2 linked regions of the Oryzias latipes genome follow. The protein of the gene in region 2 purifies or fractionates together with the protein of the main gene of each other region. This does not show direct contact. Links are inferred from orthologs where the notes say so. Each region holds a gene or a part of one and is shown on either strand. Other genes may lie near its edges.

Region 1 (11,574 bases), on a different chromosome or scaffold from region 2:
AAAGCCATCGTTGTTCAAGAGTCCGTCGTGGTCTTGGAACTTCTTCTCACTGCACGCTGAGGAACCTCCTTTTCTTCGCCGTGTGCGTGAAGCCGTGCTGACGCCACTCCACCTCTGCCGTGTTCTCGTTTTCCAGAGTTCCCAGTTTGATCATGTACACTGAAGGTAAAAACAGAGGGACTTTAAAGCCGCTCACACGAGCGCAGCGGGAACTTTCCTCCCTCCAAACTTACGTTTCATTTCAAACCTGGGTCCCACCTCCGTCAGCTCCACATTCCTGTGGTCTGTCTTCTTGTAGGTGTGGTGTCTGAGGGAGAAACAGAAGATCTGGGTTGTTTTCCAGAGATGCTGCATTCTCATCTCTGACTGAGGGGCGGGTCCACACCCACCTGAAGGAGATGAAGTCGTCCTGGTTGGCGAATGTGATCACTCGCCTGCTGTCGTCCTTTGGCACTGGAAACAGGTACTTGAGGATACTGGAGACCTGTAGGGGCAAAGGGCATCACAGGCTACGTTCACACCAAGCATTATTCGCACATGTCCAGTTCATTGGCCATATTACTGGACTAAATGTCCCCTCTCCCATGGCGTTCCAAACAGGAAGTACCCGCTGGATCAAAGAAGCCAAAATCACATAGCGAAATGAACAGCGATAACTCAGTCATTCTATTTGTCAGAATAACCATTCTTGCTCTCCTACATATTCTTGCTAATCCTAATTTTTTTCATGATATAATTTGTTATTGCAAGTTATAAACTGACCAATCAGATGTCTGAATGAAAGTATAAATGTTTGACTGATTCTCCTGAGGACGCCTCCCAGTGGTAGCGGTGTGGACTTCCAAGAAGCCCCCTCCTGATTGGTGAGAGAGGTTGCCATAGAAACCCTGACTCAGACCAACTTGGACCAATCACTGTTTACTGACGTCGACTGATTCTAACATGGCGACGGCAGTATTGCTGGAAAAAAAAAAAGTCGACTGAATTGACTTCATTTGGTTGGAATGGTTGACGCCACACTCAGTCCAGTTCTCGTATACAGTCAACGGTCCAGTTTCAATGTTAAGTCAATTAACAAAAACAATCAAGAGGTCCTGCGACGCGTTTTGACCGTCATGCGCCGCATTTTGTCACCAGTGAACTTCAGGCGTTGCGGCGCAGTGTTTTCACATTTTAAATATCTGAACCTTGGCAAAAAAGACAAATTGAGTTAGCCAATCAGGGACTCTGCTTTGGCCCGTGACGTGTTGATGATGTGACCAGCGGGTGGCATCCAAATCTACATGGAGGAAAATCTGATCGTCCTCCTGAACTTTATGATACTTTTGTTATTTGCACCGTAAGGTCCTGTAATTTTATTCGATGTGTATCTTTTCCCTCCCACCAAGTCGTCAAACTGGGTCACAGAGAGACAGAAGTAGCGCTGAAAGCGTCCGTCATTCAGCTGCAGCTCCTGCAGTAGATGGTGAATCTCACCGTCCTGGGAGGGTCTCTGATTGATCTCACAAACCCAAACATGGATCACTGTACTGCCGTTTTTTTAGAGCTTGTTAAAAATAAATAAATATGATCTTTCAACATCCTTTGAGTCTTCCATGAATTAAAGCTGCATCCTTCAACAGCCACATCCTTCCCAGGCGACGTTGGCCGGGTCCTTCTTTGAGCGGGTAGGCCGGATGTTAACGACTGTGAATTTGGACGAGTCTAGCCTTTAGATGATTGCAGCCATTACATCGGCGAATGTCCTGTCGCCTAGAAACTGTGAGTCCGGAACAGAAAGAAGTAGCGAACCAGGCATGGAGCGCAAAAATTTCCTGTGTTATTTGATCCAACTTTTAATCTTGGAGGAGTAATTATAAAAAGGTGTAATTATTCCAACTCCAGGTCCCACTTCACAGTCCGTCATTGTTGTCAGAAAATCTCCAGGTTTGGCTGCAATGCATCTTGGGATATGGACAGCATAGAAGAATACAGCAGACCAATCCTTGAAATTTGGGAAGAAAGAGGGCAGTGCTGGATGGCCGCATTTGTGGGAGTTGCTGAATTTGGACAGCACTTCAAATGCAGCCCAGGAAGAACGCAGACCACCAATTTGGACACAACCATTGCTTCCACGTAGCGATGTAGCTCCTCCCACATGCGGTGGGAGTGTCATGTTTATGAGAACATCTCTGGATAAGCATCCAGCAGCAAATTTGACGCAAGTCAAAAGAGCGGCAGCGGACACAAATCCACGTTCGGTGTGAACAGCTGTGAGGAGTGTGCACGGGGCGGCCCCACCGCTTACCCTCCTGCCGAGCCGGGAAGTGAAGTTGTGAAAAATGAGGTGGGGGTAAGCTTCAGACATGGTGCCAATGTCAGGAACGTCGTGCCTCATCACCACGTTGTAGAGCGTGAAGTAGGCTGTGGGTCCGAAGGGGAGGTGGCACACCACCAGGCCGTCTGCAGAGACAACAGAGTTTCTGCAGGACTTAACCGCCACCAAGTAGTCTAAATAACCAGCACCTGGTTAAACGCAGGAGTGACGCTGAACGAGCGCATACCTGGCTGTCCTCTGGTCTCGTGCACAATAACCAGGTCTGTCACGTTGTTGGCCTTGCAGGCTCGCACCAGTGTTGGGAGCTCATGGTTTCCTCTGTTCATGCGCTGCGCCCCGGGAAACATCAGCTTTACCTCCTGCAGAGAGGACAGTGAAGGCATCATCCTGGTGCACAGCCTCACAGAAACACTCACCCTGTTTTGTTGTGATTCAACCAACTGGAAAACTTATTTTAAAGAGGTGGAAGCTCCTGTTTCTCTAGAGAACAGGACCGTCAGACATGAGCCACATCTGGATCAGGATGGATCCATGTGGTGTCTTCACTCTGGTTTCCGTCAGCTCAAACTTCCAAGGTCATCTAAAAACTTCCTGAAGTGTGACTCAATTCTTCTTCTCTGTATTCATCCTCAGGACTTCCACTGCAGAGCTGTGGACAAACTGAACCCACCTTGGCGAACATCTTGAGTCTGGAGCTCGGGTCTCTGGATGTAGTGACCATGATCTTTGGGTCTTCCACTCCGGCCCATTTGTACTCATCGTCCATGTGGGAGCTAACACCTGAGGAGATCGAACCTGAGACGAGGAGCCGCAGGGCGCTGAAGTTGGAACGCGGCAGCACTTACCCTCTGCCCCCTCGTCGTCGTACTCCAGCAGCTTCTGCAGCTGCAGAGCCTCCTTGCGGACCTCTGTGGGAAGTAGACGGTTTTCTGCGGCGAGAGAAGGGAGCTCGTGTTAACCTTAAGACGACGGGGGAAACGCCGAGTTACCAAAAGCAGCAGGGGGGAAAAAGAAAAAGTGAAGTTGCGTGTAAATATCGCAAACACATTGTTACGAAACCTTCAGGTCACATGACACAAACACCAGAGTACTGTGATTGGTAGAAAAACCCCCAGAACACAAACAGAACATCAGCTTTGACGGACCTTTTTTGAGCACCGGAAGGCTGACCTGTAGTGTGTCAGGGAGGGTAAACAACAACCGATGAATCCTTGTTACCCCCCCATGGAGATGGTTTTTGGTTCAGACTCACTCTGATCATTTTTCAAACCGTTCCCAGTGATCTTTTAGTTATGATGATGTCGTTTTTAGGCACAATTTTAAAAACCTCTGTCATTTTCTAGGACTTAGCTTCTGCAGAGCAGAATGAGTTTATTAGAATTTCGCCTGTGGGCAGGGTTGTTGGCGCATCGCGGGCCCGCTCCCACTTCCCGTCACCCATCTGTTTATTTGCCTCTTGCTGGCTTACAGCCCCAAACTAACATTAGCACTGCAACAAAAATGGCTAGCATTAGAGGAGCTATCCAGCCGTACAGTTTGGATCCAGATTCAGACAAGGAAAACAAAGACGTTCATTAGGCCTGCACAATAAATGGGAAATGTATCGTTATCGCGATATCAAGCTGTGCAATATGCATATCGCAAAAGACGGCAAAAATTGCAATAAATGGTAAATAAGTGTGCTAAAACAACTTATGCCAGCTTGAAGTGTTTAACGAATCAAATGTATCCGTTTATACATTTGACCGAACAGATCGACATCTTCATGACCAATCAGATGGAGCCTTATTTATGTTAGATGTTTATGTTCTATGTAGACGAGGGTCATTTGGAGTATACTATTTAAACTGTTCCAATAAAACGGGAATGATGTTTTTTGGTTGTTTGGCCGTTTGTTCATATACCACAGGTTATATCGTTATTGCAATATTGATCACTAATATCGCGAGTTTTCCAGCCCGTGACGTTCATGGATCTCTAAGTCTGCAGGTGGATGCTTCGGAATGGAGCGGAGCAGGGAGATTGAGGCCCACCCGGCGTATTTTCTGTGCAGCAAATATTTGTCTGCTCCTGATTCACAACAGTTTAAATAAAAACATACTCAGAATTGCAATTTACAGCCTAATTTTCCTTATATAGGTCTTCCATCGTCTGAAAAATGCTACAAGAACACGTTAAAAACACCAAAAGCCCTATTTTATTTATTTTTTGATCTGGGTATTTAATTCCTAATGTTCAGTGTAAAGGAATGGCAGGAAGCCCTAAAAAGTCCAAGATCCTCTAACCAAAAAGCAGCCTCTCACCATCCAGAGCGCTCTTCAAGTTCTGTTTCTTCTCCTCGATGGTCCGGAGCCGGTCCTCCTGGGCCTTCCTGTACAGGTACTCCCGCCTCAGCCTGACCTGCCGACGAAGCTGCAGAAAGGAGGACAGAGGCAGCTTCAAACACACAGATGTTCACACCTGGGGAATCCAGAACGACAGACCCAGTGTGAAAGGGGTTCTGATGGTTCAGGGGCTTTCAGCACAAACATAACATGCAGCTTTTTTTTTTTACTGCGCCTGGTGGATGGACTCGTTTCACAGCAGAGTTTCATCCTGTCCATCTGAGAGGTTCTGCACTGAAGCTGAATGATGACATCCAGCCAGGATAGGTTTGAAATTCTGGCCTTAACTAGTCTGAGGAACCTGTGCTGACCTTTTCCTTAACGGCTCTGTGTTTGCCACACCTGAATACCAGGATCAGCTGAGTCCATTCAGGTGTAGGGAGTAAAAATGATAGTAAGACTAAGACGACATGAATCGATCACAGAATCAAGGATGTAAAAAGGACAAACACGTGCAGCAGCTTGAGCTTGTTGAAAAAAAAAAAAAAACACTAGCACAGCAGCCGTTGGACAAAAACCTGATCCATAATGGTTAGGTTTTACGGTCTAGGCGAAAACGAAAACGCCCAAAAGCAAAAAAAAATATAATCAAATTAAATGCAGAGCAACAGATTTTCACGGGAAAACAATGGCTTAAGTCGATCTACTAAGAAGACGGCATAAAAAGTTTAAAGTATTTCAACATTCGGCAGGATAATCTAGCCTCAAGCTGAACTTCGTTTGAGACCTTTTATTATTTCCTGGTTCCGATTCAGACTAAAACTTTATTTAAATAATAAACAAAACCATTAAACCGATAGATTTTCACAGATTTAAGTCTACTTACCATGATGAGGATTATGCTAGCAAGATTCACGATGCTAGTCACGTGGGCGAGGAAGCGTGGAGAAACAAAACTGCCTGTGATTGGCTCAGGGCGTAGCCAATGAAAGCGCCTGCTACAGCGTGTCCGGCGTTTCAAAATAAAAGCCGTGGATTCAGGGAGACTAACTGGAAACATAAAAAGCCAGACTTATTGCACCCGAAACCAGACAAACTCAGACCCATGTGAACGCATTTTTTTTATATTAGGATGATAAGGGATTTAATTTTTTCCAATGTAATGCTTTGATTCTGCTGAACAGATTCTGCAGATCTGCTCTGAACAAGAGTTTGAGGATTATCATCCAGAATGTTCTGAACAGGTTCCTTCTGAGCTCTGGAGCTGCACGTTTCCTGCTCTACGCTGCAAAAAACAAATCTTAAAAAAGTAAAAAGAACCTTGTGTTTTCAAGAAATTATTCTTAGACATAATAAAAGGGCTTTTGCCTGCTCGTTGTGTTTTTTGTTGATTCTTCTCCTAAATATAGAGAAAAAAACAGTTTTTAAATCTCAGTGGGACCTCCCTGGTTAAACAGGGTTAAAGTAAAGAACATTTTCTGTCTTGCAAGAAAAATTCATCTTACCTAAAAGATTTTATTAGCAAAATAATCTTAATCTGAGAAGTGTTTTTCTTGAAATATTAAATATTTATATATAATAGAATAATTCCAGGTATATAAAAAACAATAAGACCATTTTTCTTGCCCCATTGGCAGATTTTTTGCTTATTTATAGTAAATTTGTCAAAGGGGTAAAAATTTATTTCTAAGGGGCTTGTCAGATGAAAGGCATGCAGGAAGACAGAAAAGAGTTAATAAACACACAAATATATTGTCCTGTTATGAAGAAATAAGTTTTTTATTTGACAAACATGGGTAAACTCTTAGAGCACAGATGGGTCATGAGAGAAAAGAAAAACCAAGAGCTTTATTCATGATGATACAGCGTCTCTGACGTCCTCACTGCCGCCAGAAGAGGCAGGAAGCCGACAGCGTTTCCATGCTGGAACAAAGATTTCAAACGTTTATTTCCATTTTGTTCCTGCTCAGCACTCGAGTGGACTTTTAAAACGGCCTTCAGCATTTATCCTCACAAAGAGTCCAAAATGCTAACAGTACTGGAGATAAATGCTGCATAGCTTCAACTTTGAAATGTCAAAATCGTTATTTTTGTTCATCTAAACCATGAATGAGTGGAAATGTGTGCAAATACAGATGAACGCTGGGAGTATTAAATGTTAATTCGGGTGATGGGGGGGCTGAAGAGCCTCGTTTGAGTCCATCGTGTCTCACGCCCCCCCTCCCCCCGCCTGCAGCTATGCAGCCGGAAGCTGGATGGAGTTTGTCGGAGTGAGCGGCTGTGGAGCAGAAACAAAAGCAAAACCAGGACTAATATCCGACATTTGCATCAAAGCAGAAATAAATAGAACAAAGAAAACAAAAGAAGAATGAGCCAACAAATCCACCAATAAAAGGCGGTGACAGCCGGGTCATGTGACCCACCAGCTTACAGTAAGAACACTTGAAATGGGGGGGACAAATCAATTCTCCACAGCAAATGTTATGGGCAGAAGGAGCTTGTGTCAGCAGAAACTACATAATAGGGTGGAGCAGCCAAACAGAACAAGGTTCTAATGATTCAGAACCACCAGAACCGGGAAGTGTTCTGCTGTGGCTCAGCGGCTTGTCTGTTAGCTTGTAAACTGAAAGCGAGTGGTGATGCACAGCTTCGTTGAAGCGGCGGGGTAGGAGCGTGGGTCACATGGTTCTCCTGCACAACAGAGGCAAAAAAAAAAAAAAGACTAAAGAACAAGCAGACGAAGGAATTAAAGGGAAGATGAAGACACCGTCATCACTGAGCATGCTCACACGTTAACACAAACACTCAGCGGAGACCACGTGTACAACTGAAATCCAGACACTCATTCAGGTTCTGCAGCCACACAGTCTGCATGGCTCCTGCTGCCTCCTCTTATTGGCTGGAATGGGAGTGACAGCAGGAGTAGAGATGGAGCCTCCTGCAGCCTCGCTTGGTTTATGGCTTGAAGCTCTCCGCTCACAGCGACTGCCGATGTTTCCTCTCTGCTCCTCTGGACGTCACACGTCTCGCTTCAGCGCCGGTTTTTATAGCTCTTCATAATCTCCATCATCTCGTTTGACCAATCCTTCTCCCCCACCCAAGAAGTCCTCCAGCTCATCCACCTCAGACTTCTTCGACCGGGACTTCTTCTTCCGTTTGTCCTTCTCCTCTGTAGCTGCAGCTTCGTCCTTCTCCTTCTTCTTGTGTTTGTGTTTCTTCTTCTTTTCCTCCTCCTGCAAGCGGACAAGAACTCAGCATTTAACAGCCGATCTCTTTCATGTGACCAGAAGACTTCTCGTTCTTCTGTTTGAAACAGTATGGTTCACGACCAGCTATGTCCATGATAAACTCCTCAAAAACAAAAACAAGCTCACATTAGGCGTGTTCTGCAGCTTACAGGAGCGCCAAACATGTCGATTCTGTAAACCGTATCAGTGCTGCAAGTTTGGAAATATTCCATCTAATGACAGAACATCATTAGCGGTAATCTCAACATCTGCAACCGTCAAAAAGGTTGATGTGCAGAAACGGCTTTAACCTGAACTGGATTCAGCTAAACTTCTAAACCAGAGGTCTGCAGCCTGAAACGCAAAAAGATCCATTTGGACCAACTGACCGAGCCCAAAGAGAGCCCCAAAGCCCCCCTTCACTGCATTCTATTGATGGTTTTTAGGGAGTCATTCATACATTATAGTGTTACAGATTTACTATAACAGGATTAAGAAAGTGTCAGATTTTTCTTATTTACTTTTGACAGCAGAAATGAAAGCTCCTTTTAAAATAAAATGTCAAATGAGATCCTTCAGCTGCTGCAGATTGAACAGAATTAACCAGTCAAGAAAGCTACACCAAACATGGAATTTTTTTTAGCGTTTTAACTTTGGTCTATCTTTTTTTCCCTGTTTACCATCAGTATAAACATGACAACAATGGTTGACTTTAAAAACAATATATGCATTTAAATGTAAGTTTTGCCTCTGAACAGCAAAAATATGCTATTCAGTGGAAGATAAGAATATGTGCTTTAGGGTCTAAAAACGACTCTACCTGTAGGTTAAACCTTTTACCGATGCTTATCAGACATGGTAAATATCTAAACCTAAATGACAAAACTTATTTACCTAAATCAAATGGATCAAAAATACAAACCCATAATTGATTCAAATTATTAGCATTTTTCTTCAGAGCCAAAGAGCCACAGTGGAGGGCAGAAGGAGGCCCTTGTTGTGGCTCTGGAGCCTCAGCTTGCAGACCCGGTTCTAAACCTTTTGACGCTCGAGTGCAGCATCTCACATGCAGAAGAGCAGCAGCTGAAAAATGTACCTCCTTGCTCTTCTTTTTCTTCTTCTTCTTCTCCTTGGAGGAGGGCTTGCCGTCTTTCTCTAAAAAATAAGAAAAAGAGGGACGCTGCGTTATTTCAGAACATGCATGAACAGCTCCACAGACCGGCCAGAATCAGTGACCTAAATTTTTAAGTTTGTTCCCAGCCTGAGGTCATTAAAGGGGCAGGTGTCCTTTCAGAGTTAAAACATAAGAAGAGCTGCTGAGCAAACCCAGGAATCACGGGAACTTCTTCCACAGCGGCTCACCTTCCAGCTCCTCGCTGCTGTCCTTCGCTGCAGGAGCTTCCTCCCGGATGCCCAGGCCGAACAGGTCGGCGTCGTCCTTGGGCTTGAAGGAGATCACAGTGGGCTTCAGCGGCTCCGGCGCCGTGACTGCAGGAATGTCCTCGTCAGAGAGGTCGGACAGGAGGTCGTCTCTGAGCGGAAACGTCTCCTGAGGTGAACCCAGAGACACACAGATGTGAACAAACATCTCTCTCTTCCCCCCTTCAAACAGCACTGATGAGGCGGCGTGCTGGCAGCGCCGGGAGCTTGGGCACTGCCGTCCAGCGGTGTACCTTTACAATCTTGGGGGTGTCAGAGGCCTCAGATTCAAAGTCAGGGTCATCCATGACGAAAGACAGCATCTGCTGGGCCACAGGGGGTTCTGGGTCTGTGTCCGAGTCCTCCGCCCTCGAGGGACCCTTCTTCTTCTTCTGGGGTCGGGCCGGCTGCTCCACTGCTGCTGGGGTCAGCGTAAGGAAGACGGGGGCGTGGCCTGTGCGCTCCGTGGGTTTAGACCCCGCCTTTGGTTTGGTGAGAGGTGGTGCAGCTCTGGAACAGGAAGTCACTCATGAAAAGGGCAGGAAGTCCCTGCCAGACGTCTAATTGACACATTTGTACTATTCCTGATCCACTTTAAGGGATTTGATTACATATTCAGCATCCGTTTTGTTTGTTTTCACAAAACGAACTGGATACACAGATCCTCTGTGGGGATTCCTGCCTGATGAAGTGGGATTGGGTCACAAACAACCCAGAACGCAGGAACATCTGTCCTTGCCTCTACCTTGTAATGAAATTCTGTGGTTTCCGCCGCAGTACTAATAAACCTGACGCGCCCGCCCCGTGTGTGGGAGGAGTTAATAAACCTGACGCTCCCGCCGCGTGTGGGAAGAGTTAATAAAGCCGACGCTCCCGCCGCGTGTGGGAGGAGTTACTAACCTGACGCTCCCGCCGCGTGTGGGAGGAGTTACTAACCTGACGCTCCCGCCGCGTGTGGGAGGAGTTACTAACCTGACGCTCCCGCTGTGTGTGGGAGGAGTTACTAACCTGACGCTCCCGCCGCGTGTGGGAGGAGTTACTAACCTGACGCTCCCGCCGCGTGTGGGAGGAGTTACTAACCTGACGCTCCCGCCGCGTGTGGGAGGAGTTACTAACCTGACGCTCCTGCCGCGTGTGGGAGGAGTTACTAAACCTGACGCTCCTGCCGCGTGTGGGAAGAGTTAATAAATCCGACGCTCCCGCCGCGTGTGGGAGGAGTTAATAAACCTGACGCTCCCGCCGCGTGTGGGAGGAGTTACTAAACCTGACGCTCCGGCCGTGTGTGGGAGGAGTTAATAAACCTGATGCTCCCGCTGTGTGTGGGAGGAGTTACTAACCTGACGCTCCTGCCGCGTGTGGGAGGAGTTACTAACCTGACGCTCCTGCCGCGTGTGGGAGGAGTTACTAACCTGACGCTCCTGCCGCGTGTGGGAGGAGTTACTAAACCTGACGCTCCCGCCCCGTGTGTGGGAGGAGTTAATAAACCTGATGCTCCCGCCGTGTGTGGGAGGAGTTACTAAACCTGACGCTGCCGCCCCGTGTGTGGGAGGAGTTAATAAACCTGATGCTCCCGCCGTGTGTGGGAGGAGTTACTAACCTGACGCTCCCGCTGTGTGTGGGAGGAGTTAATAAACCTGACGCTCCCGCCGTGTGTGGGAGGAGTTACTAACCTGACGCTCCCGCTGTGTGTGGGAGGAGTTACTAAACCTGACGCTGCCGCCCCGTGTGTGGGAGGAGTTAATAAACCTGACGCTCCCGCCGTGTGTGGGAGGAGTTACTAACCTGACGCTCCCGCTGTGTGTGGGAGGAGTTAATAAACCTGATGCTCCCGCTGTGTGTGGGAGGAGTTAATAAACCTGACGCTCCCGCCGTGTGTGGGAGGAGTTAATAAACCTGATGCTCCCGCCCCGTGTGGGAGGAGTTGATAAACCTGACGCTCCAGCCGGGTGTGGGAGGAGTTAGTAAACCTGACGCTCCCGCCGCGTGTGGGAGGAGTTAATAAACCTGACGCTCCCGCCGGGTGTGGGAGGACTTACTAACCTGACGCTCCCGCCCCGTGTGGGAGGAGTTAATAAACCTGACGCTCCCGCCGGGTGTGGGAGGAGTTACTAACCTGACGCTCCCGCCGGGTGTGGGAGGAGTTAATAAACCTGACGCTCCCGCCGGGTGTGGGAGGAGTTAATAAACCTGACGCTCCCGCCGCGTGTGGGAGGAGTTAATAAACCTGACGCTCCCGCTGCGTTAGGGAGGAGCTACCAACACACATTTTAGCATAAAAAATAAGAAA
Region 2 (11,479 bases):
TTCTGGGACATCTTTCAGGCAAAACGGAAAAACAAAGAACACATGCAACATTAAGGAACTGGAAGTGTGCAGCGGCAGACACAGAGCGTGAAACAAAGGAGATCTGCTGCAGTTGTGTAGTCTTTGCAGAGCAAGGCGCTAAGGACAAACAGGAGAAACAAACAATCGCAATCCCACAAATGATCTGTTAACTGCTGCTGAGCATTTCTGCTGCTTAGTTTGACTTTCAATTTAAAATGTTAAAGAAAATGTCCATGACAGTTCATCTTTATGTGCCATTGTTTCTCTATATAGTAATAGTAGCACATTTACGATAACTTCCAGATGTTGGGTGCAGAATCAGAAAATATCAATCTCAGTTTCTTTCCAGCAAAGGGACTTTTTTTAGCTCAGGATATTCAGAAATTCTATACAAGAGTTGATATAAAACCTGTGGCTTTAAATACGTAAACCCAATCTTTTAAGTCACAATACAATTAAAACAAAAAATGATACATCTTTGCTGAGCAACCCTAAAATAATATAAAGTATAAAACCTTTACTAAGGTAAATCCTGGTTACCTTTTCTTGTCGTTTCTCAAATGAAGACTTTAGTTCAGCCTTTTCAGGGCTTGGTGTTTTTAAAACCTCCTCTAAGTCCTCGCCTTCGCTGTCTTCATCTTCTGACAGATCAAAGGTCACTTTCTTTTTAGATGCTTCGGAGCGACTTTTCTGCTCATCCCTGGAAAAGGGCCGGGGGAAAAAATTCAAACTAAAAAAACAAAACAAAAACATTTCTCTCACGCATCTCTGCGTGTTATGCAACGTTGATCACGCTTACTCATCATCGCCCTCCTCTTCGGTGTCGTCTTCGCCATCAATTTCCTCACCATCTTCTTCCTGGCTGTCATCCATGTGGTCATCGTCTCCATCTGACTGCTGCTCATCTGGTTCATTGTCCACTGCATCAAAGAAGTCCTTGTACTTGAGATCTCTGGAACTCTTTCCCTGTTAGCAGAAACAGTTGGCATCAGTTGTTGTAGTGCTAGGACGAATGAGAATCTGCACAAACATCAGCCATGAGATTCATGGATTCCCCAGAGCGATGACTTAAAAACAAGCAAAAACACATACTGTCTTTTTCTTTTTGGAAGACATGACTTCATCCAAGTTGATTTCATCGTCTTCATCGGAAGGCAGGTCCCGAAAGTAGTCTAATTCATCTTCGTTGTCGTCTTCTTTGACCTCTCGCTTCTCTATATCATCAAGAAACGTCTCCATTTCTGACAGTTTGAAGAACTTGTCATCAACTTCAGAGGGAACCACTTTTTTCTTGGAGCCCGTCTTTCCTTTGTCCTTTCTCTGTTTCTCCAAAGCGTTCACGTCAAAGTCGATATCCGAGTCATCCTCCGAGTAATTGTCTGAGCCTTCTTCAGCTTCCACTGAGGATTTTTTAGACAGTCGAGGAAGCTGTTCGCTAACATTTTCATCATCTGTTGCTCCTTCTTCTTCTTCTTCTACTCCACTCTGGTCTTCCTTGTCTGCATCCATTTCTTCATCTGACAGTAACGTGAGGTTTCCATTTGACAAAGCCCCATCTATGGCATTCTTAAAGTGTGTCAGGACAGCATCGTTCTGCAGCTCCAACTCCTGCCAAATCTGCTCTTCATCAAAGTTTTCCACCACAAGCTGAGCCAGCGGGCTGCCTCCATAACCTGCAGGCTCCTGGGCTTTGCGGAGATCATACAAGGTTTTGGTGAGAGACGTGAACTCTGCTGCCACTTCGTCCTGCGGGCTGGAAAAGACAAAGACATTAAATTCAGTAAGGAGAGTTAATTTAGGAAAGAGTTTAAGACCAAACAATATCACTACAACTTAAATAAAAATGTCCCGTATCATTTGATACACTTCAGATAAATTTCCATCCATATTCAATATAGACTCCATGTAGTCAGTTATTTCCGCAATTCCTACAAAGACTATAATGAACCCCAGTGTTGTCTCAACACTGAACTAGATTGACATGGTATATTAACCCAAGTTTTTATTATTATTTACCAAGGCTGTGTCCCACCAAGGTGGGGTAGCCTAGACAAGGCACACAATTTTAGCTCCCTCTGTCTCTTCCCCAAACCCTCCTCCTTCAGTGCGTGAGTGCGTGTGTGCGTATGTGCGTGCGACTGGTCTGAGATCTGGTCTAAGCCACACCACACTGCACCAGGGTCAGCTGCACAGCCCAGTGTGGGCACCTCCACTGCAGGGCCTCAGCCAAGGCTGGTTTCCCCTTGCCGCTTCATCCCAAGACCAGACCTCTACCACACCCATCCATTCATTCATACACAAACTCTCTCCACCCATCCCTGTCCTGAGCAGCCTCTCTCCCCTGCACCACAGTCATCCCTCTTGCATTCAGCGCTCTTTTTACACCCTCTGTCCATCCCATTCGCGGTCTTCCTCTCATTCTCACTCCACTCACATCAGATTCATATACCTTTTTCACCAATCGCTCCCTTTCCATTCTTTCAACATGTCCAAACCATCCCAGTGCCTTTTGCTCTGCTCTTTCAGCCAACTCTCGCGTCACACCAGTTCTCTCTCGGATAACTTCATTTCTCATACGATCCATACGCGTCACACCACACATACTCCTCAAACATCTCATCTCAACTACATTCAGCTTCCTCTTTTCCGCCACTTTCAGACTCCATGTTTCAGCCCCATATAACGCTGCAGGCACCACCACACCCTCATACAATCTCCTTTTTGCATCCTTTCCCAGTGATCTACATTCAAACACTCTCTTCATTCCCCCCCATATCTTTCGTACTTCATTCATTCTAAACTCTACCTCTCCCCCCATTCCACCATCCACACAGACACACGACCCTAAATACTGAAAACACTCTACCTCTTCCAACAACTCCCCATTTAATGCCACATTCAATCTGCGTTCACCCTTTAACCTCGTACACCTCATCACCTTACTCTTTTCCACATTCACTCTCAACTTCCTTCTGTCGCACACCCTTCCAAACTCCTCAACCAGACGTCCCAAGTTCTCTTCTGAGTCAGCCACTAGTGCAGTATCATCTGCAAACAGCAGCTGATTCACACTCCATTCGCTGCCGTCAGTATTTATCATGCTCACACCCGTACCCGACACCCTTTCATTCACCTCTTTTACCACACCATCCATATACACGTTAAACAACCACGGAGACATCACGCATCCCTGACGCAGACCAACCCTCACAGGAAACCACTCACTCATGCTATTTCCCACTCTCACACACGCTCTACTGTGTCTATAGAAACTCTTCACACCTTCCAACAATCTACCATCAATACCATACATACTCAACACCACCCACAACGCCTCTCTATCAATCCTATCATACGCCTTCTCTAAATCCATGAATGCCCAAAACACCTCCCTCCCCTTAGCCAAAAACTTTTCACACACCTGTCTCACAACAAACACCTGATCCACACACCCTCTACCTCTCCTGAAACCACACTGCTCTTCACCAATCATACACTCAGTTCCCTCCACTACCCTATTAATCAGCACTCTCCCATATACTTTGCCTACAACACTCAACAGACTAATACCCCTAAAACTACCACATTCATACTTATCACCCTTACCCTTGTACAGGGGAACCACACACGCACTCATCCAATCAAGCGGCACCTGCCCATTTGCAAAACACACATTCAACAATCTCACTAACCACTCAATCACGATCGCTCCACCACACTTCAGGCATTCCCCAGCACACCCATCCACACCTGCAGCCTTTCCTACTTTCAACTTTCCCACAGCTTGCTCAACTTCCTCTCCTGTAATCAACGTTTCATTCAACTCTCCCAATACATTCAGTCTACTTTCCCTTCCATCCATCCCAATCACAGCATCCCGATCTTCCTCCACATTCAGCAGCCTCTCGACATACTCTGCCCATCTTTTCCTTACTGCATTCCCCTCATTCAACATCCTTCCATCCTCTGTTTTCACTTTCTCCTCCCTCCCCGACGCTCCCTTTCGCACCCTCTTTACCTCCTTCCAAAACATTTTCTTGTTCTCTCGAAAATTATCAGTCAACTGTCTGCCCCACCTTTCGTCCGCAGCCGCTCTTGCCTCACGCACAGCTCTCTTAGCATCCCTTTTCTTCTCCTTATAACACTCATATGACTCCCTGTCCTTTCTCTGCAGCCATACTTCGTACGCACATCTCTTCTCAGCTACAGCCAACCTTACATCCTCGCACCACCATTCACTTCCCTTTCTTAGACCACCCCCAACACGTCTCACACCACACACTTCCTCTGCACTTCCAACCACTGCACTTTTGAACTGTTGCCATTCTTCCTCCACTCCAACAACCATTTGCTCCTTCACCATATTCCACTTGCCACCTAATTCCTTCTGATACTCACACATTTTCTCTCTGTTCTTCAAAACACTCACTCTCAGAACTTTTCTTGCCTCCCCACTCTTTCTCGATCTCACCCATGGCATACCCACACGCAACCTTCCTTCCACCAAATAGTGATCAGACATACCTCCACACTCTCCCCTCCTCACATTTACATCTAGCAATCTACTACATGCAACCTTTGAAACCACCACATAATCCATCAGTGCTTTGTCAATCACTCTTCCACCACTCTGCCTCACCCACGTATACTTATGGATCTCTTTCTTTCTGAACCATGTATTCCCAATCACCATCTCTCTTTCAGTGCACATTCCTATCAGTCTCTCACCATTATCATTCTTTCCAGGAACACCATGCCCGCCAACAACACCCTCAATTTTCTCATCACCCACTCTAGCATTCAGATCTCCCATCAGCACTACATTCACATTTGCTCCAAATCCTTGCAAGCACTCATCCAAGTCGTTCCAGAAGGTCACTCTCTCCTCTTCATTCCTCTCACTGCCAGGACCATATGCACTCACGAACACCCACAGCTCCTTCCGAAATTTCGCTTTCACCCATATCAGTCTTGGTGAAACCTCCTTCCATTCAACCACACATCGTCTCACCTCACAGCTCACCAGCAAAGCCACACCTTCTCTTGCTCTCCCGCTCTCTACACCAGACATTCTCCCACTCACACTTCCAAACACACACTCACCCTTCCCTTTCATCTTTGTCTCACTCAGTGCTAACACGCTCATTCCCCTCCTTTCAAACATCCTTCCAATCAGATCTCTTTTGCTTCCGTCTGTACTACACCCCCGCACATTCAACGACCCAATCTTAAGGGTTTGGGGAGGTAATCTCCCCTTCCCAACTCTACCCTGTCCGTAATTAGGAATGTAGTTACAGGGGAGAGGATTCCCAGTCCTCTCGCTCCGTCCCTTTTAGTCGCCTTTTACGACACGCAGGGAATACGTTGGTAGTATTCTTTACGACCCCCCCTAACCACAGGGATTTAACCCAAGTACTGCTAAGTTTCTCAATGCTGCTATTTGTGTTATTTGGATCCCTGTCTTTTTCACTCATTTTATTTAAGAAATGTGTGAAATAAATAGTCTGTGTAACTTTAATGTGGAGCTAAACATTTATGTCTGTTTTTATTTGACATCATGATATAAGATGATAATATCACCTATTTCCTCAGGCAGGCACACATTCATTCAGTAATGTTTAGTTTTAATAAATAGATACTAAGTTCTGGAATCTGCATTTTTATACAATCCATTCTAGTGACTTGACAATATCAATCTGTTTCTTTTGTATGTATAGTATAGGTTTGTAAAAGCTGGTTACAATAATCTAGATAAATCTGATCATTTTATTGAACAAAACTGATTTACAACAGAATCCTGTGTCTGTGTTGTTCACCACACTAATGCTAAACTGTTGTCTGATACACCGCCTGCAGATGCACATCCCAGGCTAAATCTGTGTTTTTACATAAATGCCAAGTCTTAAATTCAGCCCTCTATTATTACTGACTATAACAAAATGTTAGAGATGAAAAATCCAAGCTGTAGGTTATTTAATGAAGTAACATTAGCATTGATTGCGCCACACTGTCTCCTCTCTCTGCAAAGATAAAAACTAACTTTTTTTTTATTCAATAGATGAAGCATAAACCAACACTTGCCTTAGAAAAATGTCTGGTTGTGCCGTATTCTCCTGTACTTTTTGGACACAATCTTCCAACAATCTAAACACATCTTCACTCGCCATTTTCCCGTCACATGTGTGACCCTCCCGTGTGCCGCACGTAAACACGTTCCAGGAGAAACCTGTGCTCCGCTGAAACTTGGTTCCGACCTCTTAACATGGCGTCAGCAATGCTCAAGGTTGCAGGTTTGTTGTTGTCGATTGTTTTCTAACAAACAGCTTTCCCCAACGTCTTCTGTTCTTATAGGATGACAATTATGATGTATTGTTCCCGATCCAGTCGTTAAAAAAGACTATGCTCAAGTTAAAACCGAGTTTGTAAGCTTGAGTTTCATCAAAATATCATGTCACACGACACGAGGGGGAAAAAAAATCAGTAAATGATGTAATGATTTTTAAATTTTGTTACAGTTGTAAAAATGAGCTAAACTTTAAAACGTGTCAACACGTTTTACACCTAATTTTTGTTTTTGACCGGTTTGGTTGTTGGAATGGAGGACTGACAAGTCTAAAGAAACACTTTTTTCTTCTTCAAAATAACAAATTATTCTAATAAACATAATTCTGTACATTATTTGCCAACAGCCGATCTAACTGCTGTCGTTAAAATTAGGTCTGATGATCAAAATCTCCTTATAACATTATTTAAATCCATAAAGAAGATGCAACCCAAATGCTGGTTATTCCTAACAAATATTTCTGTTTCAAACTGTATTAATGACATTTTTAGATGAAAGAATAATAGATTAGACTTTGCATTTTCAAAATTAGTGAATTTAAATCAGAATACAGTGTTTACTGCTATGAAAAGGCAAACCACACATCCAGCTACAGTTGTCCTGATTCATGTTTTTTGTATTGTTTATCCAGCAGCAGGCGTTTCCAGGTGTTTCACTCTCCTGAGGGGTGTCTCCACGACAACGCCGCTCTGCCAGGGCGTCCCCGGGGCCGTTTGGAAGCTGGGGAAGCTGAACCATATTGCCATCGCTGTGCCCGACATGGAGAGGGCCACAGCTCTTTACCGTGACGTGCTCGGGGCAACAGTAAGCGACAAGGTGCCCCTTCCTGAGCACGGGGTGTACACTGTGTTTGTGGAGCTTGGCAACACAAAGCTGGAACTGCTCCATCCTTTGGGGGACAAGAGCCCCATCTCTGGTTTCCTGCAGAAGAACAAGTCTGGAGGGATGCATCACATTTGCATCGAGGTGAGAGGTATTAGACAATAGGTCATTCAGGTGGCACCCATAGCTATACAACCATGATGATGACAAATTGCTTTGGTAGGAGGTATGTTTGCGTGTCAGTAGCAGAAAGAATAGGCGTGACCTGATGAAAATGACACACCTGAATGGAATTTTCTGTTACAGCATCGAAAAAGGATTTTCCTTCCTGACTGATAATCGTAGAATTACACACACAAGTCCTTTAATGGTTTTTCAAATGAGCCTTTCTCGAACATCAACATATTTTACCTAATCTCCCAGCGTTGGGTGAATAGAAAGAAAACCCCAAATGTTCCAAAGTTTTATGTGAAAAGTCTGGATCAAAATATTTCTTAAAAATCGATGTAACAGAAAGAATAATTACTAAAAATATAGATCTCTTACATTAGAGTCGGTAGACTTATAGAAAAACAAACCTCAAATTGTTCCTATCTTCGTTTAAATGTTTGTCCTCCTCTTGTGTTATCTACATGCATTATTTCTCACTTCAACTAAATAAAAAATATTTGAATAAATGTTTCATCTAAATTATACATCAGTTTAAGATGAAGCAATAAGTTTTCTTCACCCCAAACACACCTGCCTCAATCAAAACCACATCTTAGGTAGTGACTTCTGTTTTGGTCACGTTGATTTTTAAGGGCTTGTCAAGCAGGATAATGTTGTGGTTTTGTTTTGCAGCGGTAGGACTGGATGACGTGGGAGTCCTAAAATCTACCATAAGCATTTCCGTGTAGCAAAGACGTGTGAAAGCATGAGAGGGCAAAAAGTTTGACTAAAACTGAGTCACTTTACGGGACCGGAACACTAAACAAAAAAGTAAATAAACACACAGCACCAACTCTGTTTCTTAAAAAAGAAAAGAAACTAATCGAGAGTTTTGAGTCTAAACTCAAAGGAAATTCACTTGCAGAACCTTTGGAGAGTTGTGGACATAAATAACAAGAGTTACTTAGGTCTGCTGTATTTTTCCCACTTTAATTCGGTATTTTATTTGAGCTTCCATCCATCCACCCTTCCATCCATCCATCCACCCACCCGTACATCCAACCATCCATCCACCCATACATCCACCCACCCATACATCCATCCATCCATCCACCCATACATCCATCCATCCACCCACCCATCCAACCATCCATCCATCCACCCATCCATCCACCCACCCACCCATCCACCCACCCATACATCCACCCACCCATACATCCAACCATCCATCCATCCATCCATCCATCCACCCACCCACCCATCCACCCACCCATCCATCCATCCATCCACCCATCCATCCACCCACCCACCCATCCAACCATCCATCCATCCATCCATCCACCCATCCATCCACCCATCCATCCACCCACCCACCCATCCAACCATCCATCCATCCATCCATCCATCCACCCACCCACCCACCCATCCATCCATCCATCCACCCATCCATCCACCCACCCACCCATCCAACCATCCATCCATCCATCCATCCATCCACCCATCCATCCACCCATCCATCCACCCACCCACCCATCCACCCATCCATCCATCCATCCATCCACCCATCCAACCATCCATCCATCCATCCATCCACCCATCCATCCACCCACCCACCCATCCACCCACCCATACATCCACCCACCCACCCATCCACCCATCCATCCACCTACCCACCCATCCACCCACCCATCCATCCACCCACCCACCCATCCATCCATCCATTCAGAATGAGCTAATTCAAGCTTCCATAATTGTTTCTGATGCTTATCTTGACACGCGCCGCTGTTACACTGACACGTGTTTTCTTCCTTTTTTATATTCACAGGTTGATGACATTAAAGCTGCTGTGGCGGACATGAAAGCTAAGAACATCAGGACTCTGTCAGCAGAGCCTCGTATCGGCGCTCACGGGAAGCCTGTCATGTTTCTTCATCCTAAAGACTGTGATGGTGTGCTGGTTGAGCTCGAAGAAGCATAAGCATCTGTGCCTGGAACCAGGAGAAAACCTCCATTTACATGTATATATTCCACTAATGTGCATTGTTCCTTCTAACACTTCTCATTTCACTTCCTTTTTTTTTTCTTCTTCTCATATTCTCATTCATATTTTCATTTTGTATTTAAAAAAAATCGACACTCAAAGCCCACATGGACGTACAAAAACACAAACAGTAGGCAGACAGGTTTTCCATCATTTTAAACTAAATGTCTTATGATGTTCCCAAGCTTCCAACAAAAAATTTGCCCTTCTAAATTGTTGGAAAAATAAACACATACATAAACACATTAAACTTCAAAAAAAATGTTTCAATCTGTCTTCATCTGACATATCAAACAAGAATAAACAAAAATGAACCAGAAAACAGTTCACTTCTCAGATCGTGATGGTGGAACAATAAAACAAAAAAATATTTTTTTTGCATTTTTGTGTTTGCAAAGGGAGCATCTGTTTAAATTTTAAAATGTTGTCTCAAGATAATGTTTGATTTTTGTGTAAATAGCAGTAAAGATTCTATTTTGAGCATCAACTTGTGAGGATTCTTTTATCTCTAGTTTTAGCTGTTCCAGTCTTCAGAAAAGTTTAAAAAGGGTTACTTTGTGTCTAATTCATAAAAAAATAACTCATTGAAATTTCCCTCTCTAAAATGTGTGTGTGGGGGGGTGAATGATAAGACCATCTCAAGATATCAGTGCAAAACATACTTACTTAAAGATCGCAGTGTTTCTAGTGAATGTGTATTCATTTTAGCAAAGTAACTTTCTGCAGACTCTACTGAAGAGGAAGGACCGGCAGTCGACAGGCCTGCAGAGGATGTGGAGCCTCCCTCCAAAAACAAAAGAAGTGTAATCGCGCTCTGGAAACGCAATTCTGTAAAGAGGGAAACCGTCACAAAATGTTTTGTTACTCTGTGTCCTCCATGCTGGAAACTTTTAGGCATTCTGAGAATGGCCACATAACACAACTGTTAAAAAACGTATGAGTCACAACATTTCTGGAATGTTTCACTCGACTGGAAAACAAAAGGAAGAGCTTTCTAAATCATCCAAACTTTTCCGATACAAGCTTGTTACTGTGCTTTGATGTAGCATTGGAAATATATTTGAAACAAACATCAGGTGACACACTTTTATGAAATAAAATGATTGTAAATGACACTAAATTAAACCAGTTATTTAAGGTAGACATAAAGCTGATTATCCTATTTCAAGGTCACCATTAGGGGAGAGTTGGGGGGAGCCTTGACATTTAGGGAAGCCTTTACAGCTTTCTGTTTGTTAGAATAAAGGGCAAAATAAAATGCCCCAAAACATCTGTTTGACACACTGGGGAATTGAATTGACAGGTGGGTGTTATGTAATAATTTCACTTCCCTTCAAACATTTGTCTCTTTTGGAAAAACCCAAATTATTTTGTTTTTTGTCTTAAACCTGTGTTTGGTTGTGGTGTTGTGCTTTAAGTTGAAGTGCCTTTTAGGTTAAAAAACTTTAGTCGGATTAGATAAAAAATTATTTTTGACATTTGGCCACTAGGAAAACCTCTCATTACAAATATTTTTAGCAGCATTAAAAACTTTAACGCTTTAAAAACCCTCATCTTGTGCTTCTTTATAGCTTTATTCAGATCCATTTTCTAGTTCAGCAAAGGCTTCAAATATGAGTCACTGCAAAACTTTGAACCATTTTGTTGTAGATTTACAGATGTTTGCCATTGGTGGTTACTGCATGATGGCATGAAGGGCAGCTTTCAGGTGTTTAGTCATCTAAATGACAATGAAGCAGCTTCTGTTGCGTTGAAACAATGGCAGACGTGAACCCTGACAGAATTACATTTTCTGAGGCCTGAGGAGCTTCTTTGATAGAGAACGTATTTGCTGTTTTCATGGAACAGTGTTAACACACTGAATGTTCCAGCAATCCATCCATCTTCTGAACCTCCTACATCATTTTCAGGGAGGTGAGGTGGGAGTCTATCCCAGGTCCAGTGTGAACCCGGCTTTTGGCCCAAACAGCTGGGATAAGCTCTGATCTATGTCCTTCTGAACAATATTGAATTTAAAGTTCATGCCACTAAAACTTCCACTGCAGCAAAAGTCCTTTTAGCTTGTTTAACTGACTTTCATGCAGATACTCTCAAGCTACATT

Evidence for each region.
Region 1: the proteins of mphosph10 (region 2) and imp4 purify together in Homo sapiens (affinity purification with mass spectrometry; 3 studies listed by BioGRID and IntAct, with this or other methods). This does not show direct contact. The link is inferred for Oryzias latipes from reciprocal best matches to the Homo sapiens genes MPHOSPH10 and IMP4.

Annotation. Positions count from the first base shown.
Region 1 is NC_019867.2:28,393,908-28,405,481, reverse strand, and holds the start of imp4 (U3 small nucleolar ribonucleoprotein protein IMP4), read right to left. Parts: upstream 5,633-11,574; 5' UTR 5,531-5,632; coding exon 5,528-5,530; intron 4,730-5,527; coding exon 4,621-4,729; intron 3,247-4,620; coding exon 3,163-3,246; intron 3,098-3,162; coding exon 2,988-3,097; intron 2,677-2,987; coding exon 2,544-2,676; intron 2,443-2,543; coding exon 2,288-2,442; intron 485-2,287; coding exon 390-484; intron 308-389; coding exon 234-307; intron 160-233; coding exon 47-159; 3' UTR 1-46. Other genes in the region: rabl6 (rab-like protein 6), read right to left, coding at 7,686-7,874, 8,965-9,023, 9,231-9,417, 9,542-9,797. UniProt on the Homo sapiens protein: Component of the 60-80S U3 small nucleolar ribonucleoprotein (U3 snoRNP). Required for the early cleavages during pre-18S ribosomal RNA processing. Part of the small subunit (SSU) processome, first precursor of the small eukaryotic ribosomal subunit.
Region 2 is NC_019861.2:17,876,521-17,887,999, forward strand, and holds the start of mphosph10 (U3 small nucleolar ribonucleoprotein protein MPP10), read right to left. Parts: upstream 6,221-11,479; 5' UTR 6,189-6,220; coding exon 6,103-6,188; intron 1,775-6,102; coding exon 1,114-1,774; intron 988-1,113; coding exon 821-987; intron 722-820; coding exon 562-721; intron 12-561; coding exon 1-11. Other genes in the region: mcee (methylmalonyl-CoA epimerase, mitochondrial), read left to right, coding at 6,284-6,311, 6,996-7,330, 9,162-9,314. UniProt on the Homo sapiens protein: Component of the 60-80S U3 small nucleolar ribonucleoprotein (U3 snoRNP). Required for the early cleavages during pre-18S ribosomal RNA processing. Part of the small subunit (SSU) processome, first precursor of the small eukaryotic ribosomal subunit.